Linked DNA regions of Caenorhabditis elegans. The protein of the gene in region 4 interacts with the protein of the main gene of each other region in a pairwise test. Each region holds a gene or a part of one and is shown on either strand. Other genes may lie near its edges.

What was found.
Region 1: the proteins of tap-1 (region 4) and ufd-2 interact in a two-hybrid assay, tested with the Caenorhabditis elegans proteins (one large-scale study listed by BioGRID).
Region 2: the proteins of tap-1 (region 4) and ain-1 interact in a two-hybrid assay, tested with the Caenorhabditis elegans proteins (one large-scale study listed by BioGRID).
Region 3: the proteins of tap-1 (region 4) and ftt-2 interact in a two-hybrid assay, tested with the Caenorhabditis elegans proteins (one large-scale study listed by BioGRID).

The regions. Positions count from the first base shown.
Region 1 is NC_003280.10:8,059,549-8,067,584, forward strand, and holds ufd-2 (Ubiquitin conjugation factor E4 ufd-2), read left to right. Parts: upstream 1-3,192; 5' UTR 3,193-3,203; coding exon 3,204-3,260; intron 3,261-3,302; coding exon 3,303-3,629; intron 3,630-3,674; coding exon 3,675-4,596; intron 4,597-4,646; coding exon 4,647-5,556; intron 5,557-5,604; coding exon 5,605-5,959; intron 5,960-6,011; coding exon 6,012-6,395; 3' UTR 6,396-6,645; downstream 6,646-8,036. Other genes in the region: T05H10.8 (peroxiredoxin-like family protein), read left to right, coding at 626-748, 797-884, 928-1,177, 1,528-1,731, 1,776-1,916; pdha-1 (Pyruvate dehydrogenase E1 component subunit alpha), read left to right, coding at 6,752-6,765, 6,897-7,466, 7,546-8,036. UniProt on the Caenorhabditis elegans protein: Acts as an E4 ubiquitin ligase mediating the assembly of polyubiquitin chains on substrates ubiquitinated by another E3 ubiquitin ligase. The elongation of preexisting ubiquitin chains preferentially targets ubiquitin 'Lys-29' and 'Lys-48' residues.
Region 2 is NC_003284.9:16,609,956-16,618,793, forward strand, and holds ain-1 (ALG-1 INteracting protein), read left to right. Parts: upstream 1-3,495; 5' UTR 3,496-3,537; coding exon 3,538-3,718; intron 3,719-3,761; coding exon 3,762-3,914; intron 3,915-3,971; coding exon 3,972-4,790; intron 4,791-4,915; coding exon 4,916-5,007; intron 5,008-5,051; coding exon 5,052-5,567; intron 5,568-5,916; exon of another isoform or gene 5,917-6,065; intron 6,066-6,127; coding exon 6,128-6,292; 3' UTR 6,293-7,720; downstream 7,721-8,838.
Region 3 is NC_003284.9:11,602,491-11,608,645, forward strand, and holds ftt-2 (14-3-3 domain-containing protein), read right to left. Parts: upstream 2,930-6,155; 5' UTR 2,891-2,929; coding exon 2,840-2,890; intron 2,791-2,839; coding exon 2,418-2,790; intron 2,143-2,417; coding exon of another isoform or gene 1,979-2,142; intron 1,951-1,978; coding exon 1,787-1,950; intron 1,722-1,786; coding exon 1,563-1,721; 3' UTR 1,218-1,562; downstream 1-1,217. UniProt on the Caenorhabditis elegans protein: Required for extension of lifespan by sir-2.1. Required to modulate lifespan, in concert with hcf-1, acting redundantly with 14-3-3-like protein par-5. Promotes nuclear export of yap-1.
Region 4 is NC_003284.9:14,587,166-14,593,765, forward strand, and holds tap-1 (TGF-beta-activated kinase 1 and MAP3K7-binding protein 1), read left to right. Parts: upstream 1-2,458; 5' UTR 2,459-2,492; coding exon 2,493-2,629; intron 2,630-2,989; coding exon 2,990-3,125; intron 3,126-3,169; coding exon 3,170-3,313; intron 3,314-3,357; coding exon 3,358-3,434; intron 3,435-3,487; coding exon 3,488-3,596; intron 3,597-3,640; coding exon 3,641-3,766; intron 3,767-3,939; coding exon 3,940-4,025; intron 4,026-4,120; coding exon 4,121-4,217; intron 4,218-4,370; coding exon 4,371-4,619; 3' UTR 4,620-4,656; downstream 4,657-6,600. Other genes in the region: bltp-3B (Chorein N-terminal domain-containing protein), read right to left, coding at 374-509, 713-823, 873-990, 1,041-1,114, 1,340-1,435, 1,484-1,589, 1,878-1,921. UniProt on the Caenorhabditis elegans protein: Involved in the Wnt signaling pathway by regulating mom-4 kinase activity.

The DNA.
Region 1 (8,036 bases), on a different chromosome or scaffold from region 4:
ATGGGGGTGGTATTGTGTTGGGGGTAATCCATGATTTCATTGTTCAAATTATTTTTTTGATTATTGTGAACATAATAGCTTTTCTCAATAAGCCAGTAAGATGCCCTGGAAAAACTTCTAGATTTAACGTCTGGCTTCAAACCTGGAGCATCAATTCTTAGAAAATGACGTTTATGTAGTTCCTGTTGCTATTTAGACATCATGGCTACTACCAAACATAGGAAACGAGTAATCAGATTTATTAATATCTAGCCAAAGGATTATATGGGTATACACATTTAGACACATTTTTTCAGTGGAAGTCAAAAACCAAATGATTGGGGATTCAGAGAAAAATATTTAATCGAATGGGTTTCTGATATAAAACATAATTTATCTTATTGTTTGGAAAGTTATCAATTTCTCAGGAATTTTTTAATTTTACGAATTTCAAATTTATAGAACAGATGTTTTTGAAAAGATTTTTTGGAATGTTTTGATGAAAAACTATAATTTGATCTCTGAATACAAAAATCTGTAGCTATAAAAGAGGATCAGAATAAATGTTCAAATGAAAAATTCTCATAATTTTTATACCTCACAATTTGGTTCAAAATTCTATAAATTAAAAAAAATGAATTTCCAGAAGCTTCGGGTAAAGCACTACGAGAGTCGTTTGAAGCTTGGGACATCTTTCTTCGTGAAATTGATGATGAACTGGAAAAGACGCTTGGACCAGTCAAAAGTGCAGTTACCACTCTTCCAGAAGGTACTCCTTATTGTATTTCAAAATGTATTATTTTGATTTTTCTTTCAGATTCTGGAATTCTCGGACTTCAAAGCAAAACTATTTCTTATTATGTTACAGGAAGTGCTTTTGATTGTGTGCTCATTATTGTAGTTCGGTTTGTTTTTCTGATTTTCCAAATAAAAATGGTTAAACTTCAGAGCATTCAACAGGCCAGAAGTTAATGAGCATATTTTGGGATTATATAACAGAATTGATGAGTTAAGGAAACTAAGATGTGATGTATTCTTATTGACAAAGGGACCACCAATTGGATCAAGTGGTGGTGCATACATTAAGCTTATTGGAGTTCCTTTTCGTAAATTATATGATATGAATGAGGCTGAAGAACAATTAAAAATGAATAGAAAGTCTGCACTGGAATATAATGGATGGAGAACGCTTTGCAAGGTAAGAGTTATGACTTATTTTCATTATCTTCATAAAAGGGGACAAAAGGTATTTTATCTAACTTCCTTTTTGAACAAAAAATATGAATAAATTCATGAATTTGGCAAAAATATAATAAATAATGAAAGAAAAAAAAATATGGTCCAAAGTTTTCTTATCCAACTTTGAAACATTCACATCAAAATTTCAAGCTTCAAGATCAAGATTGGAAAAGAGTTTGTTGAAAGTAACAGTTTGTCGGAAATTCAAACAAATTTTTATTCTTTGGCGAACGTTGAGCAAAAAAGTTGATATCAAATTGCAACGTGGGAAGGATAAGCAATCATTGTGTATAAATTGGAAATTTTCAGGTTGTGGAAGCCTCTCTCGTCGAAGGAGATTCAATTGTTGCGAAAGAAGCATCAAGCTCAGAAGACTCAGTTTCTTACATTTCTCAAAAAGGTGGTACTGTACTTGTGGATAAATCAGGAGAAATTCTTTACAAGCACATTGAAGACGATAAATCAGATTCATGGCCAGATATTGATGAAATAGTAAAACTGGTTGAAGCAAGGGTATGCTTTTTTATTTTTAAAACTCTCTTAACAAACTTCTCCAGAACGCCAAATACTTGGAGAGCACTAATAATTCTACAATATCAATTCCGAAAGGTGGAAATCTGGCAAAAGTGAATTCGGAAATTTCTGTAACAAAGGAACTGGCGACGGACAAAAAGAAACCGTGTTGCGTAATTAGTTAAATATCTAGACTACATTTACATTAAAACCATACATGTTATCTTGGCTGATCTCATTATTAATTCATTATTTTAATATTAGATTATTTAACTATGAAATAACATAAACATTAATTTATTTTCAATTTGTTCCAATGTGGAACTTCCAAAAAAAAAACACTCGAATTTAATGTGGTTGTTATTTTACAGTGAAAAAAGATGTTCGGATGCTTTGATTTCTTTTGGTTGAAGATTTTCAGACTCGTTTATTAAACTTTTACTGTATTCTTGGAATAAAAAAGTTCAATTTATTTTCAATTTTCAATCAATTTAAAAATCTATCATCTGAAGAATAAAACACAACACTATTACATAGAAGTTTCAAGGCAAACCATATATGGCCATATGAATTTTTTTGATCGTTTCAATAGTTTTCTAAAAGTACAATAATCCACGGTAATCCTACAGTACCCTGGCCATATCCCGGAATATTTACGATTGCATCAGAGTAGCAACAAACGTGTGTATTGATTGATTTTTTATCGTATTGAAGGACATCTGCTGGTGGACCAGGTACCCGCCTATAAATGTCTAGAATTGGGTGAGTCTCACAATGACGTCCCTCGGGTCTCAATTGTACACAATCGATTGTTGAGTTGCGCTACTGTTTTCCTCTTGAAACTATAGTTAACTAAACGATTTTTATTGAAAGTGAGGTTTATTCTCGTTTAAAAAAAACAATATTTATTAAAGAATAAAATTTTGTAAAATCAAAAATGTGCGTTCCATCCACAGTCTCGTTCATTTATATACTTTTTTGTTGCTTAATTTATCTGCCCCTTCAAATTCTTATTGCTCTAAAAATATTCAAATTAAGTGGTGTCTGAAAATAGAATCATAAAGATACAATATTTAACACTCGTTCTTCCGAATTCAGTTTTCTACCGATGTTTCTCTCCTGCAAAAATGTGGTGTCTCGGTAGTGCAGCAAACGCGCTCCACTGCATGTTCATTGAGAGGCCGAAATGTCAGCGTCTTTGCAGCTGCATTGCTCCTTCGATTTTTCTATCTCTTGCGCGCGCGGTGCAAATGTCTTCCTACAGTTTTTGCTCTCGAAAATAATTTTATGTTTTCCTCTATACACAATTCTAGTCCAATATTGTTTTCATACAATCCTCTGCGTTTAATTTTTCCGTCTCATAAATGTTCCCATTACCGTAAAATATTTGTTATCAGACCTCTCACCATTCTCTTTATCGTTACTCTACTTATCAAAATCACGTGATCATCACGAATTTCCAGAAATCGTAGATGATTGAAGACGAGAAAGCAGGCTTGCAGCCGATGGACATAAGTGATGCTTCTGTGGTGCGTTTTTGCCTGACATTTTATATACTCATAGGCGATTAGTTCTTTTTTCAGGCAGATGTTGAAAGCAAAGACTTCCTCACAAGTCTCTTTGACTGTGAAGGTAAATCAGATGACAGAATGCTTCGTTACGCCGATGCGATAATCGATGTTCAAAATCTGAATTTTGATGTTTCTCCTCAGTGTCTGCAATCGAACATTGCCGAAATAATCACAAAGTTTGTACTTTTATCTCAAGATGGATCAAGAAGGGGGCTGTCAAGATCGTTCAATTTCATCGACCCTGATATCATTGCTGGATGTCGTGAAGAAGACGCCATCGAGTTTCTCTTAATCAATTTTGTTCGTTGCCATCATGAGCTTGGAAAGGTACTCTATCTAATATAGTTCTATTTTTAATTTAACAATTTTCAGAGCGGTACTTCAAATTGCTACAAGAAAACTCTCGAATCTACCAGGAAAGCAGTTTTCTCAGTTTTTGTGATGATACAGAGAGGCTACTTGGAGAGCCAACTTCGCAGCCAACATGCTAGTTTGGTGTTCACAAAAAGACTTCTGGAGGATACGGTGTCAAATGTTTTTCTAAGAACATTGGTTGAATACCTTGCAAGTACAGATGAATGCGATGAAGACGCTATTACAGAAACATTTAATCCAATTTTCGGGATTTTGCGGAGCGGAATTATTTGTCAACGCTTTGAAGACAATAAGGACGAAATTGTTCGTCAGATCCTTCGTGTGATGAACTTGCTTCTCAGTATCAGACTCCCTTCAAACGGACCTCGCCCACTGAGTAACCTACTTGTTAATCGAGAAGATTTTCTCCCAACGCCGTCCGAAAAAATACAAGGACGCGAGTTTGGTTTAATGTCCTTCCTAGGACCGTTCTTTTCGTACGGCCTCGAATCATCAGCAAGGCGTCCAAATCATCGAGTTTTTGTGGATTGTGAAGAAGATGCAAGAAAATATGATGGATCAGTCAACACTGAGCAGAAACTGTATTTCCAAAGAATGGATCCAATTCGAACTATGCTTCATCAATTGATGCTTCCGCTTGCTTCGGATCAAGGAAGTCGCAACAAAACTCTAAGATGGATTGCCACCATCATAAGCACCAATGACATTCGCACTCGTTCACATTATGATCCTTCAGATGTCTTGTGTGATCATTATATGACAAATTTTTTGTCCGTGATGTACATGTTTTCCGAGAAAATCGACTTGTCCAAAATTATCGTAGATTATCCGTTTTTACCGAGTTCGCTTATAAATATTTCCAAGGAGACTCGTCTCAAAATGGACGAATCAGGAGCAGTCGCTTTTGCTAGCCAATTCGGTAAGTTTCATTTTTCTTTCTCAAAAAATTAACTTGTTTTCTTTTTCCAGCAGATCGTCCAGATGAATATCATTTCTCTACAGTCTGCTTCTTCCTGACAATTGCAGCACAGAGGCTCGTTATTCCTCCATTGATGAATCAAATAAGTGAATACTCTCGACACCTTAAGGAGCTCAAGCATAAGATCAATGCGCTCAAAGAAAAACTAAATACTGTGTCAGGATTCGAGAGAGCTGAGGTGGAAAAGAAGTTGAACTATGAGACTGAACACTGGAAGCTCATGTCTCGTCATCTTTTATGTGTTAAGACACAAGCTCAAGATCCTGCATTAATGGCATCTTCTATGGATTTTGTCGATAAGCAGATGAAATTCATTTTGAATTTGCTTTGTGATAACTTGGATTTGCTCGGAGACGACAGTCAACTTCCAACTGAAGTATCACAAATGTTTTGTGCGCTCCCAGAATATTTTCTAGAGGATGCTCTCGATTTTTACATATTCGCTATTTCCAATGGAATGAAACTGCTCATGGAGAGAAATGCGGATTGGATTTCCCGTCTGACGGTCCTTTTCACACAATATCACTACATCAAAAGCCCATTTCTCGTTTCCAAACTGGTGAGAGTGCTGTCTTCTATTCAACCTCCATTATGGTTCAACGTGGTCAGACTTCGAATGGCACAAGAAAATTTATTGATGTGCATGATAAAGTTCTACTCGGATTTCGAAGACAATGGTGACTTTTATGAAAAGTTTAACGTTCGTGGAAATATCCAGTACATGTTGGAAAAAATGGAGGAAGATATGTTCTACAAAGGAAAGTTTATGGACATGGCAAGAGAATGCGGAGCAGAGTTCATTCGGTTTGTCAATATGGTGATTAACGATGCAACATGGTGTATAGATGAGAGCTTGTCTGGTTTGAAGAGTATCCATGATGTTGAGAAAAAGATGGCGAAGTAAGACTATTTCGAATGATAACTTAAAAATATAAATTTTATTTTCAGCAAAGTCGAATGGGACAACACAGATCAAGAAATCCGTAATCAGGATCTCGGCGTGTACGAGGAGGCAAAACGTAAAGTGAAGGGATGGCTTGGAACAGCCAAAAGTAATCTTAAATTGCTACTATCGATTACCGTAAACTCACCCGAACCTTTCCGTACTCCGGTTCTCGGCGAAAGACTTGCTGCAATGTTGAATCACAATTTATCGCAACTCATTGGTAGCAAGGCCTCCGAGTTGAAAGTCAAGGATCCAAGAAGTTATGGATGGGAACCACGGGAGTTTGTATCGTTGCTGATCTCAATCTATTTAAAGCTGAATATGCCTGCATTTGTTAAATACATAGCATACGACGAGGTTGGTTAACACATTTGTTTATTCAAAGAGATTTATTTTAATTATTTTTCAGCGTACCTACAGTCCTGAATTCTTCCATAATGCGATTGAATGCATGAGAAAGAATAGTATTGTTGGATTCAGTCAACTCGAAAGTTTCGAACATTTGGCCGAAGATGTTAAAAAAGAGTATGAGGCAAAAGCTGAGCTTGAAGAAGAGTATGATGATGTACCAGAAGAGTTCAAGGATCCTATTATGGATGCAATTATGGTTGATCCTGTCAAATTGCCATCAGGACACGTGATGGATCGTGCAGTCATCGAGAGGCATCTTCTCAGTACACCCAATAATCCGTTTAATCGTGCTCCCTTGTCGCACAATGAGCTTTCTCCCGATTCTGAGTTGAAGGCAAAGATTCAGGAATGGATTTGCCAGAAAAGAAATTCAAAGAAATAATTTTCTATCATATTCTATTGTTACCCAATTTTGTATTTATTGTACTTGACCATTGCACATGTGCAAAATGTCTGTAAATTTCACGCGTTCCTTTCATTTTATAAGTTTTTCTGGTCTCTCAATGGTCTAATCTTTCGGTTTCGGTTTCATTTTCTGCATGGATTCCTTAAAGTTGGTATTCTTGCCCTCTTTCATCAAACCTAAAAAACACGAGTAGTGCCTTGAATGTGAATAAATTTATACTAATTTACTTATTTTCTAAATTTTGGCTTCTATTGCGGTCTCCGATCCGCATACTTATATTTTTATTCTTTGTGAATTTCTTCACATATTCTGATTTTAGCCTTGAACCTGGAATGACTAAATTTCTGTAGGTTTATAACGAACGGTGTCGTATTGTTTTGTGATTTGTTACATGTCAATAACTTATAATATTTATACGTTCCCAGTCATCCCAAATCCGATTAATTTTTATTTTTGAAATATATTTACTGCTTTCAGTAGCTTGGTACATCTGGAACGTATTTGGTCGACGGCAATGTCTTTATTCGCGAGACAACTTCAATCCTTGACTGCCAGTGGAATCCGCACACAGCAAGTTCGTCTTGCGAGCACGGAAGTATCATTCCACACAAAGCCATGCAAACTTCATAAACTTGACAATGGACCAAACACCTCTGTCACCTTGAACAGAGAAGATGCTCTCAAGTACTACCGTGACATGCAGGTCATTCGTCGCATGGAGTCTGCTGCTGGAAACTTGTACAAGGAGAAGAAAATCCGCGGTTTCTGTCATCTCTACTCTGGTCAAGAAGCTTGTGCCGTCGGAATGAAGGCTGCAATGACAGAAGGAGATGCCGTCATCACTGCTTACCGTTGTCACGGATGGACCTGGCTTCTTGGAGCTACCGTAACCGAGGTTCTTGCTGAATTGACCGGTAGAGTTGCCGGAAATGTTCACGGAAAAGGAGGATCCATGCATATGTACACAAAGAATTTCTATGGAGGAAACGGAATTGTTGGAGCACAACAGCCACTTGGAGCTGGAGTTGCATTGGCCATGAAATACCGGTATGTTAACAAATTTTGATGTATTTTTTTACGAGAACAACTCATATTTTTTCATCTAAATATTTTATTTTATTTTCAGTGAACAAAAGAATGTATGTGTTACTTTGTATGGTGATGGTGCCGCTAATCAAGGACAACTTTTCGAGGCGACTAACATGGCTAAACTTTGGGATCTTCCTGTTCTGTTCGTTTGCGAAAACAATGGATTCGGAATGGGAACTACTGCTGAACGTTCATCTGCTTCTACCGAGTATTATACTAGAGGAGACTATGTTCCTGGAATCTGGGTTGATGGTATGGACATTCTCGCTGTTCGCGAGGCTACCAAGTGGGCTAAGGAATATTGTGACAGTGGTAAAGGACCACTTATGATGGAAATGGCCACCTATAGATACCATGGACACTCTATGTCTGACCCAGGAACCAGCTACCGTACCCGTGAAGAGATTCAAGAAGTTCGTAAAACAAGAGACCCAATTACTGGATTCAAGGACCGTATCATTACATCTTCATTGGCCACAGAGGAAGAACTTAAGGCTATTGACAAGGAAGTTCGCAAAGAGGTCGATG
Region 2 (8,838 bases), 2.0 Mb from region 4:
GAATACATGAAAAAATGATACAAAATTATATGTATTCTGGAAAAAAATTAAACAAAACTAAACCATGAATATTGTTGCCAGTGCAACATGTTCCCAAATTTTACGAATGATAAGAAGACACTTCGTGAGCTAATACATACAATGTAGAAACATTTTCATTAGTTTAAAATTGAATTAAATCTAATTTGATAATATACCAATACTCTAAACTGTAAGACCAAACTAAAAGTGACAATTTCTGGTATAAGTCACAAATACTCAACAACAAAAAACTAACACAAACCCGTCTCGGGCGGTCAAACGCAGTTTCGATTAAACTACACTAAAAGGTTTCAAGTGACCTGACCCGAAATGCAAGTTCCTAATTATATAATTACACGCGTTCGTGTGGAAGACCTTCTTTCCAAAATCGTTTAGTTTAGTTCTGATTATCGCGGCTTATCCGTGTTAATCTCTGACGTGGTCGAAATCCAAAATGAAGAAACTTATGTTTTTGCTGTTTTTTCCAGTTTTTTTGTTTTTGAATCATGTGTACTGAACAACAAATGGGCAGGATGAAAAGCAAAATATGATGAAGCTAGCCGAAAACATAAACAATAGAAACAAAAACTTCGAAACAAAAATATGAGGAAAGAGAATATGTTTTATATGACGAATTTTTTTAAAACTATTTTGATATTTAATGTGTAGTTTTTCGTTTAATAATTTTAGGTATGGTATGTTTTGTATCAATTTTGCACCCCATGGTATTTTTCATGGATCTTCTATGATTCCCAGCGTCTTCAAAATGCTCGTATAATTTTGTTTCTAAATGTGCACATTTTTGTTTGAATCCTACGTAAATTCCAGTTTTGTATATTGAATTTCAAATATAAACAGTCAAAAAATGGTATTGCAAGAAATACTGCAATGAAAAACACAGTAGTTCTAGGAATTACGAACAAAAATTAATTCGTCGGTTTATCATCTTGTAGAATTGGATTTTTGACTTCTGATTTTTTTAAATATTTTAGAATCTTTTTCGATTTTACTTACTTACTTAGTTTTACCTAGTTTTATTTAGTTTTATTTGGTTTTATTTTATTTTTTCTTTGATACTGAGTTTTATCGAATTTTCACATAAATTGCTTTAAGTTTCCTTGAACAAATCATTTGAAAATCATCAAAAGTATTTTAGGATCATTTTATGCGTTAGTGATTATTGATTTAATATATGGGTTATTGAATAGAAAATGCCAATTTTTTGATTCTATGTGACAATTGGTTTCTTTCTTTGTGATAGCAAATTAAAAAAATATTTCAATGTCATAATAATTAACTAGAAGCTTCAATAATGAACTATGAATAGCATATAAGTTTGAAATCTATTGATAAAAGATTATCAACAAAAAAGAAAAGAGTTAAACCATGTAAAACTTTTAGTCAAGTGTTAGAAATGTGTTGATTGAGTAGCCCCTCTCGAGACGCGAGTAAGAAATCGATTGATCAACGATAGGTGGGAGGCAGTGCGCTGGGCCCTACGCTCACCATCGGCATCTCTGTGCAACGCGTACTATCTCGACGACCCATCTGTCCAATTGCTACACGCATTCGCGATCTTGTTCCGCGCTGGACCACACTACCAACACTTCCCGCTTGACCCTTTCTCTCTCCCGGAGCCTAATAACACCTGCTTTTTCTACTGGTCGTTTTTTCTTTTATTAATTGCCTCTTTTCTCTCAGCGTGTTTGTTTTTTGTCTTCTATTTTCAATTTTGAAAAAGAAAAACATTTTTCTCGTTATTCAAAAGTTTCTCTTCATGTTTTCTTCTCCGTGTGAAAAACAGTATAGATTTCTCATTCCCAATTCTCTTCCACCTCACCGGGTCACGTGAACTTGATGCGAAGGAAAACAAACCCTCAACTGTCTAGCACTCACAGTTTCTGGTTCCCGAGCGGTGGCGGCACACAAGGTCGAAAAAATTCAGTCACCAAAAATTGATAGCCTCGGCTGTTTTGGCGTGTCAAATTAATGAACACTGTCTTAAGAATTTCAACATAATGTTTCATCTTTTTCCTTTTTAGATTTATCATCTCCTGTTTGAATTTAAATATTTCACAAAGTACAAAAAGTTACGATATAGCCAACTTTTCATAACAGAGAAAAACCACTGTAATGTCAAATTTTCAGAAAATTGGTGAATTTCTGTTAAATATCCTTAGTATCCTCAATTAACAAGTTCCTAATCAATTTCTCTCCGAATCTATTTCCAACCAAAAAGTGTTTCAAGTTTGGCATGTCGCCCGTCCCGCTGTTCATCCCGTCCATCTTCGCTCGTGTGTCCCGTCCATCCCACATATCGAAAATATATTGGTAGTGTGTGTATGTGTGTGTGTGTGTAGAACTGGCCACACAGACGTATATACTGTTAGATACGGGGAGAACCACCAGAGATGAAGAGAAATGGTGGTGAGTGGTCGAGCGCACGTCGATGAGTGTCTATGAGTGCGGTGGTGAGCGCATGAGCGCGTGAGTGTGCGGCGGTGCGGTTTCTCCGTCTCTACACGACATGAAACCCTCTCAGTTGACCCTACGTTCCTTCTTCTCTCTGCACACACACACACATACACACAGCGGTCTCATTGATTCGTGAAAGAAAAAGAGAGAGCGAGAGTGCGGGAGGGTGGTCTGATGAGTGAAGCGTGAGCGGACAGACTCACGGGGGTTAGTAGTAGTGAAGCGAGGAAAAAGTGGAAAGACGGGGAGTTTCCGCTGCGTCTCTCGCCCGGCAAGCAATTTGATGTTGGCCTCTCACTATGAGATGGAGAGAGACAGACAGGGAGAGAAACGCGCAATGTCGTCGCCGGTCGCCTTCTCGCCCTCGATCGGGGTAGCCAGCAGCAGCAGCAGCAGCAGCAGCAGCAGCCCAGCCAACCAGCCTGCGAAGCACCAGACCCCTCTTCTAACTAGTCTCTCTCCTTCTTCTGCTTTTTCCTTCTCCTTTCTCTCTTTCCTGCTTTTTCCTTAACCCCTTGTCCGCCTAGTTCCCACCTAGCCAGCAGCGCCCCGGGGGCTTTTGGGGCCTTTCTTTACAACAGTAGTTATGTAGGTTGTACAAAACTTATTAAATTTTTTAATGTTTACCTTTTTACAGGAGAACGCTTTTTACACTGAACTTGTTTCTATCTAGCAGTATTGCATTAATTAATAGTTTATGCTTTCTAACTTTGACAATGATCTTGTAAAACATAATTTTGCTCAATACTGTTTGAATGGCTTTAGATCATTTTTTATAAAATTTCTATTAAGCTGATACTCCTGGTCCGTAAAATTTTCAATTGCCTTCATGAAATCCTGCTCGTTACGCGGCTAATGTTGTTCGACCAATGTACCCATGTCGAAATCAAATAGTGTTATCAATCAGTCTATCAGTTTCTTTGTTTTCTCTTGTCATCTATCATTTACCATCACGCTCTCGCCAAAACTCATCAATCAATAATATTCCATTTTTTACAGATAAGCTCAAACTCTGATCGCCAGAGCGCGATCAACGCAACCATGGAGAGTCTCGCAAAAAACTTCAACAACATTTCAATAGACGACGCAGCGTGGCATCCTAACGACCAACAGCCTGTATGGGGAAACAACGGTCTCCAGCAGCAACGTGTCTGGGCTCCGCCGGTACCGCAGCCACAGTTCCCAAACAGATCGCCATGGCAACAGGAATCGAACGATATCGGTAATTGGCAATTGTAATCTTGATGACGTAAAAATTGTTTCAGAGCCAAATGTCAACGAAGCCCTTGTTGGACTCAGTGGCACAGGCTCATCAAGTCAAAGCCAATGGGGTGGCATTCAGAATACAGATTATGAGAAACAGATATGGGGTGATCCACCATTGAGCGATGTGCAGTATCCACTTCAACCACATGCCTGTAAGTTCAAATTTGATTAGACGTTATATTTATAAATTTAAATCTATAAATTTTCAGCGTTCGGTGAATTGAATAGTCTTGGAGGTCAATCTGCGCCTTGGTCCATAGGGTCTCAGCCAGCGCACCCGGTTTGGAGTAACGGAGGAATGGGAAAAGAATCTGATGACTTTTGGAAACAGCAACAGCCTCAACAGCATCAGCAATACCCGATGCCATTGCTGCAGGGAGCCTGGAATACAGGCATGAGACATGGACCACCAGGACAAGGACAACGTAGTGGGCCAATGATGCAGCAGCAGCAAGACTACCAAGGGGGATGGGGTGGCCCGAATAACATGGGTGGCAACAAGCAGATGAACCGTCCATGGGGGCAGGACAGCAATCGTGGAATGTCAGGCATGCCGCCCCGAAACGGTCGTCCAAACCACAACCAGGGACGGTACTCTGGCAATATGGGTGGCGGTGTTGACGTTTCAGTTCCACCACCGATGGATATGCACATGGGAGGTGGTATGGGTGGAATGAGAAATATGGGTGTTGCTCCGAATAGTGGACACGGATCATGGAAGAATAACAATGCTGGTGGAGGTCAAGGAGGCCACGGCGGTCAAAGAAACTACAACAACCGTGGTGGAATGGGACACAGTGGAAGCCAGAGTGGCGGAGGATCCAATATGTGGAACAGCACCGGAAACAATGGAAGTGGTGGAAGCATGCAGCAGTTCATGGGAGGAGACCAGCAGTACAACAATCCATTCCCAATCGGCGGAGCTGCTGATGATCTCACACTGACTGTTTGGCATGATCCAAACGGAGAACTCAAGAAATGGCAGAGAGATACTGGAGTGTCCTATTGGGGAGACCCGGAGAAGCAAAGTGAGTTTTTTAAAAAAATATTTCCTTGGTGGGAATTGAATGAAATTCTCCATTGTTTCATGAAAAACTGAAATTAGTCTAAATGTGTTGCTATAGAAATCACCTATTATCGACTATTTTTGCAGCTGACCGTACCATTAGCTTGTGGATTGTTGGCGAAGGTGCCGATGAGGATTTGGAAACTGCATTGAACCGATGTCCAGTACCACAGAAAAAGGTAATATTGTTGTCTTAGGTATTAAATTGAACTTCATGTCTCAGGGAGAGGACAATCAACGTTTCCCATTCCCAGTACCAGCGAAACGGCCAATTGTTGTGACCGGATGGGGAGAGCTTCCAGAAAATGATCCAAACAATCCGTCCAAGAGCGAGTCGACGATATTCGACGAGAACAACAGATGGAACGACTTGACAACTGAGCAAAATCCATGGTATCTTCCGAATCAGCACACTTCAACATTCTCCAGTGACAACACCACTGGATCGTGGGTGCAGGGAGGAACAATTCCACTCAATGAGCCCGGAACCAATCAACACGTGGCTGTGGCGGAGATGCTGAAGAACGCTGTCGACAAGGGATACCTGGACCAGAGCGTGACGATGATGGCCAACTTACCGCCAATGGTGCTGCAGTATGTCAATATGCTGCTCGTCAAAATTCCAGCGTTGGATAGTGTGGAGAATGAGCTGAAGCAGATAATTGAGAGTTCTCTGCCAGAAGATGTGAAAGAGGTTGATCCACAGAATCAACAAAAGTACATGAATGATAGTCAAAAGGTGAGGAAGATTGTCGAGTTTTCAGGTTGTTCAGGATAAAATTATGAAAAATTAAAATAGTAGAAGCCAAAATAATTATCATACTACAACCTATTATTATAGGAAACAAATGAAAGCTAGACATTTTGCTAGAAATTTAAAATATCAACCTTACCAGAAAACTAGCTTAGATCCTGCTTAAACCTAGATTTTAAATTGGGCGGCGGGATAGCTCAGTCGGTAGTGGTGGCCGCTAGCAAGCTGGAAGTCATGAGTTCAAGCCCCCTAGGTTTACCCAGCCTCTATTGAGAAGTGGAGCAATCAACGACTGGATTATCGGTCACGGTCCCCGGCTTGAACGTGGCTCAAATAATAGCCCGGTGGGAGCCCCACCAGACAGTGCACTACGGAACTGAATTCCAGATCCGCAGTGCATAACACCTGAAGTACGGATCGTCCTTTAATCCTTTAATATCAAACTTTTGAAAAATATTAGACGCATCGCTAAGGAGCTCAGATTACTTCAGTTCGATTGCTTGCAAAGATGAATAATATGAATACCAAACAAATCAATTTTCCAGCTTGAACACAATCGTCTCATCATCGAAGTGACGACAGCAAAGATTGAAGTTCAAGAATACTCGAAAAAAGTGAACCGTGCGCTGATGGACGCTGGAATTGTGCAACCGCAGGAGCAACGTGCGCCAGCCTCAACGGAGGACTATCACTACTCGTTCTTAGAATAGATTGTATCGCCCACCGATCTTCTCTCCCACACACGAACAATTATCATCATTACTTTTATTTTGTGTTTCGCACTGTAATCTGAATTTTAAGTTTGGAAATTTGAAATTCAAAGTTTCAGCCTTGTCATCATCATTTCCCATTAACTTGTCTCAGTGACCTTTGACATTTTCTTCAATACTTTTTTACTCTCCCCCTTTCTCTTTAATTTCGTGTGTGTGTGTGTCTGTTTCCTTACTTTATTGCCTCCGGATTTCTATTGTAAACGTGGTCTTGTGAATGTTCTCTCTATCTTGTCGTCTCCTTCCTTCTTTACTGCTGATCAGACGGGGAAAATTACACGTTTTTTGTATTTCACCTCTCGTTTTGCCATCTCCAGATAATCAATTTTTCTTGTTTAAGGGGAGGCTCTCGCCTTTCCCCCTCCCACTAAGAATAATTTGGTGGCTGGTGCTTGGTCTCACAGGGATTCCAGGTTTATGTCTGCCAGTTCATACCTTCTCTTCTCTCTCTCTCATAATAGGGGTCTTTGTTCCAACAATTTCCAACCACGCGTAAATCCATCTTACTTTCCCTTTTCCATAACATCCAAACCTCAAAATATAATAAAGTCCATATTAATCAAAATACTGTATTTCTTTTTTTAAATTGTATCCTTTCGAAAATATAATTCAGTTTTTGGGGCTATTTCCACTAAAACTGCACTTTCTGCAGAGCCTCTGCGAGCATTTTCACCCCACTACTCTTAATCCCCCACGTTCACTTTTCAATCAAGCTATTCCCATTTTTAATTTGAATCAAAATTTCTGTGTATGCTTTGCTTCCAAACGTCATTTGTAATCTGGGTCTTTTCTACGTCATTCTTTACAGTTTCAATGTGCTAATGTCTCCCGTCTCTTGTCTCTTTTTGCTCTCACCCTCACTCACTAAGTTCCAACCAAAAATTGTGATGAAATTATCCCTGAAAACTTGTCAAAATTGGTTCAATCAGCTACATGCGCACACTTTGAAAATCATACAAAAATAAATACAAGAAACGCCTTTCTAAACGATACATAAACTCGTCGTCCCGGCAGCATTTCCCTAGAAACCAGGTCAATTCCTAGTACGGCCCTTTTCCGAATTCTCGCTCTCAATTTCAAACAAAATGGTGTTCTCATTTCATTGTCTTCTTCTCCAAACTTACCGGACTTCAAATAAACTCATTATGTGCAGTACAGTTTCACAATTCGGGACCCTCTCTCTTCCAGAAATTTGTCAATTCCCCTCTCTCATTTCTCACTCCGGCTCTCAAAAATCTTGATTAAATCTCGCATGAACATGTAATAATCAAAACTGTTTTCTTATCTCTTACCATACTTTACTTGTAACACCCATGCCGTCCAACATCACCTTTGGTTCTATTCTCGTATAATAAAACGTTGTGAATTAAACTCTGGAATGTTCAATTTTAGGGAGCAGAAATGAAATAGCACTGTTTCTGTATTTATTTTAATATTTATTTCAAGTTTTAGGTTTGAGTGTATGATAGAAACACAATTAATATTTTGTATTCAAAATAGCCAATTTGTTCAGCAACCGCTTTTTGGTATCACCTGTGCAGCCAGAAACCATTTCTCGTAAAATAAAAGCTTGTCAAAAAGATTCTCCCCGGCCGGGAATTGAACCAGGGTCTCGCATGTGACAGACGCGGATACTCACCACTATACTACCGAGGACACATTTTTCAAAGAATTCGGAGGCTTTCAAAATCATTAATGTAAGTTGAAACCAGATTTACTCTGCAATTCTTACTTAAATTGTAGCATTTTGGCCGACTAATAGTATGTAAAATAAATATGAAAAAACAAACATAAAATAATTTGACAGTTGACCTTGTCGCATTAAAACCAAAAGTATACAAAATATAAGCTGCCAATGATGCATGAGCAAATGTATAGCCTGAAAAAATAAGTACTCAAGTTTGCCACTTACAGAATTTCCTATTTGATATCTACATCAAAGACCAATATCTTAAAATGACCATTAAAGCCAAACGAGCAAAAAGATTCTCCCCGGCCGGGAATTGAACCCGGGTCTCGCATGTGACAGACGCGGATACTCACCACTATACTACCGAGGACACATTTTTCAATGAATTCGGAGGCTTTCAAAAACATTAATGTAAGTTAACCCCAGATTTACGGTATAAATCTTGCTGAAATTGTTTCATTTGGGCTGATTAATAATATGTAAAATAACTATGAGAAAACATACTTGTCAATTGACTTTTTCAATTATAGCCAAAAGTATACAAAATATGAGCTGCCATTCATGTATGAGCAAATGTAGAACAAGAAAAAGCGGGACTCAAGTTTGCCATTCGCAGAGTTTCCTATGGGAGACCTACATACATGCAAGACTAATGTCCAATTTTTCCGCAGAGCTGAAAAGTAAACTTACTTACTTACTTAGTCGCAATAGTCCTAGATGGTTCATAGTCTCTTTTCATAATTGTTTTTCTTTTTTGAGAAGGTTTTGATGGTGTCCAGGAATTTCAGTGCGTGAG
Region 3 (6,155 bases), 3.0 Mb from region 4:
AGAAAAATTGCATGTTTTTATTTGTGTGGTATAGAATGCTATTTTTGTACACATTGCCGGTTAGAGTTTTGGAAACCTTGAAAATCATCATTAACAAACCTTCAACTGCTTTATAAAAATTCATATTTTCAAAAATTATTATCATTTTCAACAATCGTTAATTTTTTTGCAATTTTCAATTTTTAAGGTTTTTGGCAAATGAAACTTTTGTCATTTTTGTTTTCTAAATATTTTGGGAATGATAAAATTTTTCAAAAACATTTATTTTTAGAAGTTGGTTAAAAACGAATGTATTAGAACCATCATTATTCACAAATGCAATTTTGGGTAAATTGATTGTAATAAAGTTGTTCACATTATTTCGTTATGTTTTTTGCTTATATTTCCGAGAAAAGCTTCAGTTATAATTATTGCAAAATGTAGAAAATATAATGTTTGGCTTTCAAATATATGTAGATTAGTTACCAACAAATGAAACCCAATTTTTAATATTTAAAACTGCATTCAAAACAACAGGACTTCTTCTTCTTCTTCAAAAAAAACATGACAATTTTCGAAATTGTTTTTGGTATTCTTATGTATTCGGCTTTCAAACTTTTCAACTAAAGCACAAATGTTCATTTAATTGTAAAGTGGTACAAAAGTAGCTCGTTCCCAAAACCCTGCTCTTTCTGCATAGAACTATCTCAATTACCAGTGTACCAATTACCACTCCTTATATTATCGGCTGTAAAAACCCCAATTTTTTGGTTGTTAGCTGGCGCCGCCACCTGGCGTTGCAAATGAAACCTACCCGTCCAAATAAGTAGTTTTCAAGTATGTCACTAACCAAAATTTTGCTATATCTGTAAAGCCAATTTAACTAGAAATAAACCTATGAAAGTGTCATGTACCGGAGATTTAATCCAGGACTCCACCTTTTCTTATTCCTCAATGAATATGAACATTAAATTCTAGTTTTCATCTTTGTTCATATCTATAATAAATGAAATAAATTTTGAATTGAACCTTAGCAAGTGCCTAAGACGTAGTAGTTATCTTGGTTAAGGAAGAACAACCTGCAATAACAAGATGTCGCTAAAAGAAAACGTTCGTTTCAGTTTTCTTTTCTCATTCGAACTTTGTTCAATTGCACTAATTTTTATACATTTGGATGTCAATCGGAATCCTCCCCTCTTAATATTTCTTCGACGTGATTATCTGCGTTAATTTCTCATATTGAAGTTGGTGTTACAACTTTATTATGTGTATTCAAAAGCTTGGGGGTGTTTCGAATGTCGAGATTTGAAAGGGGGAAAAGCCGTAACAAAACGGAACATTGAATTGTATGGGTAGAGACGGGAAGTTTTGATGAGTGGGCTCAGCACAGAAATTTGAATAACTTCTGCATTTGGTTGATGGGAAAAGGGGAGTGATTGATGAATTTATAGAAAAAAATGGAAAGAAAAACGATGGTTTAACTAGTCAATGGTAATAAATAAATCATATGACAAATAGTATTATTTATCATTTTCAAGATCGAGGTGAGGGGTGTGTGGCGGTAACGTGTCGGTGTGAAGGAGTTAGTTGCCTCCCTCTGTCTCGTTGGCATCAGTGTCATCGGTGGCAGCGTCCGAGGTCCAGAGAGTCAAGTTGTCACGGAGAAGCTGCATGATGAGGGTAGAGTCCTTGTATGAGTCCTCGTTGAGGGTGTCGAGCTCAGCGATGGCGTCATCGAAAGCCTGAAAGATTAAAGGTAATCAATAGCTTTGAAGTTACGATGCTATGTCAAAAACTTAACGAGCACCTGCTTGGAAAGCTGGCATGCTCTATCCGGGCTTGCTGCTACTTCATAAAAAAACACCGAATAATTGAGTGCAAGACCAAGGCGAACACAGTTCGTTGGTGACAGATCTTTATTTGCAATTTCAAGTGCCTCCGCGTAAGCCGTTTGTCCAATGTTGGCTACTGCTAAAATAAAATAAAAACATTAACACACCTGCTTGGCAAGCTGGCAAGCCTTGTCCGGGGCGTTCAAGATCTCATAGAAGAAGACAGAGAAGTTGAGAGCAAGTCCCAGGCGGATTGGGTGAGTTGGTTGCATCTTATCCTTGGCAATGTCGAACGCCTCTTGGTAGCTTTGCTGCGACTTCTCGACAACCGCTGCAAAGAAGGAATATTCATTTCTGGTCTTCTTTGAAACGAGTATGACTATGAGAGGCAGAACTCCCTAGAGGAGAACCCCCAATGAGCTGCCCTAGAGTTTATTTTCAAAAACTACGCATCGATGTGGAATTGGGTCGCGCCTGAACTCCCGTTCTCTGTCTTCCCTATGATATCTTTCCACACTTCACACAAGGATGCATAGCTTACGAATGAGGGTTAGAAACGAGTGCACGGTTATGTCCCAATTACAGTCATCATTTTCAATCACTTACAGTTTCTGTCGTCTCCGGAGGCGACCTCAGCGAGGTAACGGTAGTAGTCTCCCTTCATCTTGAGGTAGAAGACCTTGGACTCGGCGGCTCCAGCCTTTGGAATGAGGAACTTGTCGAGCAAGTTGAGAACGTCTTGGCAGATGTCGCGGAGCTCCTTCTCAACCTTCTCACGGTATTCCTTGGCCATTTGTTGCTTCTTCTCAGATCCTTCGGTCTTCTGCTCAATTGAAGAGATGACTCTCCATGAAGAACGACGGGCTCCGACGACGTTCTTGTAGGCAACGGAGAGAAGATTGCGCTCCTCGTTGGAGAGCTCAGCTCCCAGCTCGGTGACCTTCTTCATGGATGCGGCCATGTCGTCGTAACGCTCAGCCTGAAATTAAAGTTTTAGTATTCAAGAACATCCTGAGACATCTACATACCTGCTCGGCAAGCTTGGCGCGGTTCACGAGCTCTTCCTTTCCGTCAGACATAGTTGATTTAGTTGCTTGAAGTGGATGAGTCACTGAAAAACGAGAATATAAAGAGTTTGATACAAAAAGGTCAAATGAGAAAGAGAAGAAAGAGGGCGGTAAACAAATGAAGATTGTTTGAAGAAAGCAAAGAATGGCTCCTTTCCGTATTCTTATATGATATGAAACTGATGGGACATTTTCATCTCTTCTAACACGAGGCGTATGAGCCCTTGTAGAAGTATACACAATGCATCAAGAAGAAACGAGAAGGACGTTGTCGAGCGAGTAATGTTGAACAGAGTGAGCGGCACCCCTCCCAGCCCTCCCTCTCGTTTTCTGTGCGTCTCTCCCTATCTGCCGAAAGGAGCGCGCACCATCATTTTAGGGTCTGTAAAAACCATTCAAACTGCGAATTTCAGAATAAAAATTATATATTCTGAGAGGGGAAAGTCTGTTTCATCAGCTAAAGTGAAGAAAATATAAGTTTTGATATCTGTGTTTAAAAAGAGCCGTTTGGCGCGCTACAAACACACAATTGCGGAGTGATTCGAGGGGGCTGCCAACAGAAAACCGCCGCCTCCTACGACTCATAAAGGGTCTCTTTCGCAATGTGTCAACAAGAGCGCGCACCACATTTCTTCTTTGAAGGAAGTCAACATAATTTCAGATATATTAGATGAAAATTAGATATTCGGGTTCGTCTTTTTCCGGGCTTTTAGTTGACTAGAAACTCGGCCTAAAATCTTGAACTTTGAATATTTTTGTGCAGAAAATAGGACGAAAACATCGGACATGCGGAGGCTTCTAGGGGGCTGCCTTTTGCCCACCCACCAGGCGCTCGGTCGTCATTTGAAGTCGCTCTGTTATTCAAATAGAAAGAGCGCTCACCATAACTCTTTGGGCCATAATTTACCTTCAAATTATCTTGAGTAATGTATGGTCTGAAAATTTGAAAATGTGACTACAGAAGCTTGCCGTTTTCAAAGTTAAATGATGATTCTTGCATGTTCCTGGATGTTTCTGGAAACTTGGAGCAAATTCAAACAATGCGGCAGCGCTTTGGGGGCTACTTTGACGACCGCTGCAGACTTGTTCTAAATCAATGACCAGCGGCGGTGGGCTCGGAGGCTCGGAGCTGATGCGGTTGGCTCTCGCTTCACAACAGCCTAGGATCGAATATGCAGGGCGCGTAAACATGCAGGCAAAACAGGCTGATAATCGTGTTACTTAACTTGAAAGTGCCTGGTATTTGCCTTAAATTACAAAGGAGATTCAGAAAAATAATTAGCATGATAAATTTACAATTCTAAACTACATATAAGGCCAGGTTCTATTCATTCTTTTCATTAATTCATATGTAGAATTTTACAAAAATGTTTATTACAATAGTATCTGTAATTTTTCCTGATGTTTCTGAAACTGTAACTGGTATTTTGTACAAACATCCATATCAATTAGAATTGGTGTCGCGGAACACATCCGACTGTTGTTTGATCTTCATTTTTGTTGTCTTCACTTCCGATTTTCGAGGAAGTACATGTACATCTTCATTCTTCCTATCCCGAAACCTTTCAAACCCCATTCTATCAAAACAGAATTAGGAACAACAGATGCGTGGTGTGGTGCGCAACTATACAGAGACCTTCAACGCAATTTACGTCTTATCTATTCCACATCTTCTTTCACCGTGCAGTGAGGTATACTCTTACTCATCAATGAGAACTGTTGTCTTACGGGAAAGATTCAAAAACCAGTGAACCCACCTTCAATTTGAAAAATACGTTTCTAAATATATTTATTCGCATTTCTCAGACTGCCCCAATTACCAAAATGGGCTTTTCATTTTTGGCCATTTCAGGATTAGCGGCCGACGGAGCAGTGAAGTCGTGGGAACCTATTAGATGTTTGGTCAAGGTTGTGCCCAGACTCCAAATTGTTTTGAACAAGGCACCACCTGCTGGTCATTTTTCAAATGTTCTTTCTTTCTGAAGGTCCTCTGAGAGATGGAAGGATGTTTGTAGTTTTCTTTATTACGACCACTTTACAATTCAATTCGGGGGAAGCATTTAATTTAAAATTCTTCTCTATGTGTGTGTGTGTGTGCAGATTTCAACTTTCTTTACAACTTGGCTCAATGAGACTTCGATACTTAGATATTGAGACTTCAGACTAACAGAAAATGAGAAATGAATGATCATGTGAAATAGGATATAAGCTCATAAAGTCAAAGTGCATAATACTCCCTAATGTAATATTCATGAGTAATCATTGATGCTTACACTCTGTCTCGACTTCCTATCTGTTCTTGGTTAGCAGAATATTTAGCAGTTCTGTGAATCTGCACGGTGAGAAAATTTCACAGTTTGCATGTTTTCATTTATTCAACCAGTCATTCGATTACTGGCCAAGTGAACAACAACGTCGCGTGGGATATGAAAATTGGAAAATTTTGAAATTGGTCTGCATTTGGCAGAGTGTCCCCCTACTTTTCAAAACAATCCAATTTCCAATTCATGATCACAGATGATTCTAGTTTTACTAAAAAAAAAAGGTTGACTGTATCATCTGCCTTCATAGTAACTATATTTACGAAAACGTCATGTGTTACAGTTTTGTAGAATAACATTGAAGAAGACGATCTCTTTTTTTGTTATATTTGTCATGTGTCGATTGTTGACTAAGACGCTCGGAAATCAAGCGACCACCTGCACATTTATTGTGAAAATACCCAAAAATACTCGAAAATCGGCGTACGTAAATTGAAAAATGAAACACTTGAAGATTTGCCTTACAATGCTTATTTTCGTCCATTTCCCTCTCATTTCATTTTGTTTGTCTTCCTATTACAATAGGCTCTTCAGTAGATTATGCCGACCGATGGATTAGTGTACGGACGAGAAAAGAGACGTGCGCGAGAGCGCCCCGCGGCCTCTTTTGGCTAATTGGCTTGATAAGATTTCACCGCTGTACGAATCATGTCAACGGAGTGACATTTTCTTTCTTGCTCCAATTACAATCTATCCATCACTTGTTCTTTTTGTTTTATTTTTAGTTCAGCAACAAGTTGCATTCCAATAGAATGAAGAATGGAAGGAGCGTTGATGGTGTTACAATTGGAAATATGATAGACGCATTACGCTTGTCACGTACCTGTCAATGGAGACAGGGGGAACGCAGAAAATAAAGTATAACAATCTGATAAGTCATTCAACATTTTAGTCATCTTCGATTGTCTTTCCAGATAACAAGTGACAGTGAAACGTTGTCATATTTAGTATTCTTA
Region 4 (6,600 bases):
TTAAAACTATTCCTATAGGGCTACAACTACCAAATATCAATGAAACTTTTCAGAAGCTTCTGGAAATTTTCTTAATGATATTTAGTAATTTTAGCATTACAGGAATGGGATTTAGTTATTTTTCCATTGGCCGTAGTCCACTTTTAATTGAACATCAATTTCATTGAAAAAAATGAATTCGTAAATTTTCTATCTACTTTTTTTTTACAAAATTTTTCCTCAAAATCCAGAATATGCTCTTATATACACACATAAAAAAATTCCCATGATTTTATGGGCAATAAAAGTTCCAAAACTGCATTTAAAACTCGGCATACGATTCAATTTTATTCCACTTTTTTTTGTATTCTCTGCTTTACCAACAAAAACTCACCATTTACATTCTTTTTCAATGCAATTCGAATTTTTCCGCCACTCGTGATCAATCGTAATGGAGCATTGATTTTGGATCGCTGCTCATTTTTCGAAGTTTTCGCTGAGGCTTCAATGCGAAGGAGATGCCAGGAAAGCTGTAAGTTGGAGGTTTTATTTTAAGCCTATTTTAACAATTTGAATATCAGATGTTTTTTTGAAAATTTTAAAAATCCAACTATGTATTTTTCCTGAATATTTTTTTTCTAATCACATTTTTTAAGATTCATCTTTGATGAGATATTTTTAGATTTATAATTATTCAAATTGATTCTAGAAATGTTTCTTTTTAAAAATTCACCTGCTTAAACATCAATGTTCTATTTGTCTCCGAGCACGTAATTCTAGTCTGACGCAAGTCTTTCACTTGAGCCCATCCTGGACTTCTGCTCTCCACTGACAATCGTTGAAGCTGAAAAATTTCATTAATTAAAACATTTTCCGGCTGAGCAAACACAAACCATAAATGAGCCTCCGAATACGTCGGAATCAAAGTTAATTTCTACAGAACTTATATACAAAGACATGTTTTCGATGATTTTGTTCATGAAGCCGTATGAACTGCTGTCACCGAGATTTCTGCAAAAACGTGAAGGGTTTAATTTCGAAAATGGTAGAACTATGCTTACCCAAGTGGATTTGATTTTGCCTGTTTTTTATGCTCATTGGTAAGCTCCACATCCACATTGATTTCATCAATGAACTGAAATTATTTTTACGATTATAAAAGCATGAATTTGAATGAAAAAGGAGTTTATGTGAGACTATGACACTTTTCAAAATATTTATAACTTTTTTTTTACAAAATAGAAAACGTTATCAAAAATGCAACATTTGGCAGATTTAATTTGTCTGATATAATTATTCAAAATACGAGAATAAATTTGTCTACTTCAATTTCTAATTCAAAAAAAAGAAAACAACCTACAATCTGAATTGGGCAAGTTTTCAATTTGGTCCATGGTACATTCACAGCTACACCTGTACAGAATGCTCGTTTGATTTTCAACCACGAAGGAAGCTCCTGAAATTTTGAGTTTATGCAAGGAAAGCATGTACATTTAAAACTCACCAAAATCTCTGTCAAAACATCTTCGTTAATTTCAATAAACTGAAGTTTACTATTTCCTTTTAACACGTCTAAGGATATCTGCTCGGGCTTCAAGTTTTTTGTGAATCTGAAAAAAAGTGAATTTTTTGAGGGTGCAAACTTGATTAAATTCCATAGTAAAACTTTTCAAAAAAAATTTGAAATTTTATACTTATTGTCACAAGTAGCAATTACCAAGATATTTTTGGTTTTTTTAAGCGATTTGGAGCATATTTTGGCAAAATTCCCAGTGGCGTTACAAAAATTTTAACATCCATTTTATCAACTAAACAAGGAGGGTATTATTTGAGAAAAAATATGTTTGACGTTGTCATCGATTTTTAATATTTTTCAATACACTCAAAAATTAACTTACTTGGATAAATGTTTGACTAGCTGGTTTTTGATTATTGACGTCATCTTCGGTGTACAATTCTGCAAAAAAAATCGATTTTCAGGTGCGAACTACAAAAAACTACATAAATACACAGAAAATCATCAATAGAACATATTGAATCAAAAACAATGTGCTCATTATTTATGCGAAAATGCATTAATTGTCCAAATTGCGACTATCGGTTTTTGCCAATGGAGCGCGTTTGGCACACGCGGCGGTGTATGCTTGGGAGGGTGCGTGCGCGCGTCGGCATGCCAATTCTCTCAACGTGTTTGTGCTTGGCTAGCCATTGCTGCTTTTTGATAAGAATAGAAACGCGTTTTGGCGTGAGAAAAAAGACCGGATATAGATTTTGAAGATTAGAATTAGAATTTTTCCCTTTTTTTAAATTGTATTTCAATATAAAAATATAATTTGATTAGAATTTTTTGTTGTTGCTCATTGAACGTTTATATAATAAAAAAGAAAGTAGAAGTAGTCAATCAACAAATTTGTTTATCGTTTGTATTAATCGTTTTCTCTGTCATTATTTCTCTAACTCATCGTGAATTTGATTGTAGATAAGCAGGAGAGCAGTCGCAGAGCACAGGCAAAATGGGGGACGACGGGTTCCTCGATCAATACCCTGCCAACACCGATGCGGGCATTGGCACTGTGCACAGCTGCCGCTACTCAAAACAAAAAAATCCGGTGCAGAACAACGATTTTTTATCGTGCTCCATGTGCATACAGTGAGTTTATTCTACTTTTTTTGTTGCAAAATGAAACATAAACCGATCTTAATTAGGAAAAAAGTCAAATTTTACAGCAATTCAGTGGAAAATAAACTGAACGATTACGTGGGAAAATGCAATTTTTACACTTTCCTTGTCTAGTAACACAATGAACAAAAAATGAAAAGAGAAAGTTTTGGAACGATACATTGAAGGTGTTAAATACAATTTGTTTGCAAGGAAGTAAATGTCACAAGTACATCAATTAAAAAATAAAACTATATTTATCGTAATTTTTTGTTAAAACATGAAAGATCATGTAGACACAGATTAGTAGATTACATTAATAGTAAAAGTTAACAAATTTTCATTTTTCAGCAATGGACCCATCAAACTCTACGGTATTTTTTCCGGATTTAATGGTGGCGATTCAACAGCGAAGTTTGTCATGAACAGATTGGTATATGAGATTTTTGGAGAAAATCCAATTACACCAACACTACTCCCTTATCAAGTGATTTAACAATCAAATTTTCAACTCTACAACTACATTTTCAGGTGGTGGAAGAATTTAAACGGAAATTTGAAAACGTTGCCGAGCGTTATTTGTTGATGAACACCGATGATTTGAACAATCGACTGTTAAAGTTGGAGGAACAGTCGGAAACTGGAAATAATGCAGTATCGGAAATCAATCAAAAAGTTAGACTAAATTTTGAAATTATTATAATCTCCCAAATTTTCAGATTCGCCAAGGTACCACTGCCATAGTAGTCATGATCATTAACCAGGACCTATATGTGCTAAATTGCGGAAACTCTCTGTAAGATTTTTGAAACTGTTTGTTAGGAATTTTTGAAAAAAAAAAACTTTCAGCGCAATTGCTATGAACAGTGAGAACGTAGTGCAGCTCAACTCAAATCTACACAATAATGACAATCCTTTGGAGATTGTACGAATAAAAGGGCTAGGGATTAATCCGGAGGTAATTAATTTTTTTTGTAATAATTTTACAAAATAAGTTTACAGACAGTTCTGAATCCAACTAGAGCGATCGGTGACTTACAACGAACCCACCTGTTTGAAGAGACGGAAGCTTTCAAGAATGCAAAAGGACCACCGGTTATTTCTACTCCAGATGTTCAGTATACAAAGGTTTGCTATGATGAAATGTTGTTCTGGAACATTTTACGAAAAACAAGATAAAAGATCAAATTCAATGAAAATATTAGTCACAACACCTCAGATTTGATTACAAAATGAGAACATGTTTTCTTTTCTTTTTTTAAATGCTTATTTTCCAACCAACAGGTAACTTCTACTTTTAGATCGACCCATCCTGGAGACATTTGGTTCTGATCTCCGACGGTGTAGTTCAGAATCTTAAGGAAGTTGAAGTTGAAAACATCCCAACGTAAGTAGCAAACTTATGGAACTTTTTCGTCAATAACCAAGTCACACGTTTATAAAAATAAAAAATAAAATTTTCATCGATTCCCCAGTTTTCAGAGAAGTATCCGTTCGACTAATTGAAGATCACACAGTTACAAGTACAGCGCAGGCATTGGTAGACTCGTTTGCAAGAAAGCATCGCGATGCTTACACGGTTTGTTGGATTTACCCTTTTTTAGATAAGCAAATTTGAATACAATTTACAAAATTTTACCTATTTCTTCTCAATTCAATTAAATTTGTTCAAACATTGGGCGGATGTATTTTGCTATTCCACATTGCCATATTATTTTTATTTTATTTTCAGATGAGCGACGATAAAAATTTCTGTATCAGTAATCACAGAGAGGAAATGACTGTGATTTATGTGAAGCTCGAGGAAGATTACCAAGCGGCTCTTTACGAACAATTCGATTCAGCGATTTCGACAATGGAATCTACAAATGCAACATTGTATGAGCCCTGCTCGACACCATATGTCGATGCTACCAACTTCAATTCTGGAAAAAATTATGAAAAGATGAAGAAACTACTTCTAACTCGACCTTCAAAATAAATATTGTTGCTAGTAAATATAAATATTTGTTATCATGTATTATGTGTTATTTTTGCGGGGAGTATGATTATGATGCTTTCATTACAAATGTAACGTTATATGTGCCTATGTGGTGCCATGTGCCAGGATGTCCCATCACGGATTGATCTAGAAAAATAGCGGGATTTTTTCGCCCAAAAAAAATGCGACGTCAGCGCGTTCTTAACCATACGAAATCAGTGGAGAACTCTGCGTCCCCTTCTCCCGCATTTTTTGTATTATTGATCTACGTAGATCAAACCAAAATGAGTAACTCTGACACCACTTGTGTGCCCTGTTCGACACCTTACGTGGAAGCTACCAATCTCAACTCTGGGAACAATTTTGAAAAGATCAAGAAACATTTTTCAAGTCGACCGTCAAAATAATTTCTATTGTTGCTACTACATAGATCTAAACTTTTCTTTTCCTATTTCTTTGTTTTATTTTGAAAAAAAAATCTCTGACGAGAGATGCGGGGGAGGAGTTGCTTGAGCTGGTGTGAGATCAAATTTCTTGAATTTCACATCAACGCTTTTGTCCTGATTTTGAGACTAGATTTTTCCGTATTGGTCTTTTTCTGCATTTCAAAAAACAAGACGCAAATTCTGTTACATAATTTACCTTTTTCAACAATCGGTCGTTATCGTGAATTTGAAATGATCTGAAACGCTTATTTAGAGGCACACAGATTTGTAGGTTTTGTTGCAAGGAAAGCTTATGTCATCGCTTTTTGATCTTGACAAATGTCGTTTTTATCAGTTTAGTTTTTCAGAGAAAAAAGTTAGGATTTACACATATAACTGGGAGCCAAAAAAATTTTTTTTTTTAATCCCGCATACCTAAAATAGTCCCAAATGTTCGGAAAACATAATAAAAACATTGAAAAATTTGGATTTTTGGAGGTTTTCACTCAAAAATTCGGTGACAACTTTTGAAATGTTCGTCGAAAAGATTGGTTGCCAATTTTTGATTGTATAGAAATTTAAAAAATTCTTTATATCTACACACTCACGTGGCGCCAGAATGTCCCGCTTCGGTTTGATCTACGTAGATCAACAAAAATGCGGCGGTTGAGATACAGAGTTCTCAATCTTTCTGTGCGAAAAAATCCCGCTTTTTTTGTATTTCAAACCGTATTGGTACAGCCTGACACCACTTGCGCACTATAAGGAGCGGTTTTAGATGTAATGCTTTGAAATTGCAAGACAACATGCTGAGTGCAATCAGTTTGGTTTTTTAAATTTGTACAGAGTAGGCGTCTTGTCAAACTGTTTTTATCTATTTAAACTATTGATGTTTTGAACTTCTAGATTTCCATTTGCATATATTAAAACGGATATGTTAAAATTTGCATCTTACGTTTTCTTTGGCTCTCTTAACCCACTATTACACTAATAATAATAATTTAATACGTTGGATACAAGCTATGGTTTTTTTTCTACTCACAAGCTGTTTTCAGATGCAAAAGCTAGTTTAACCCTATAATCTAAAACGAATGTTTCTAAGCGGCCCCATACGTTATTCGTCAAGTTGAACGACTCAATTGAAATATCCGGAGTAACATACAACGACGCGTAACTAGATTTTCTATCTCTCTCTTCCACACTTACTCTAACACAAAAAGAGAATTGACTTTATTTTTTGTTAACATCTCTCACAGCTTCTAGATAGATCTTATTTGCTCTCATAGTTTTTTTAAATTTTTATTTTATCATCCCCCACTTGACACTTAATAGTGTTCAGAAGTATTATAAAATTTTGCATGTTACGGTTTTTTCAGATATTTTTGTTCTCAGGGCTTCAAATATCAAGCTTCATCTAGAGCATACTGTATTGTGTCCTTCCAGAGCCATCAAAAATGTATAGATGGAAGGACCATATAATGTCGACATTCTCATAATTGGACTCTGATCATCTCTCAAGAATAAAGAGAATGCATCGTTGCTTCTGAATTTATTGT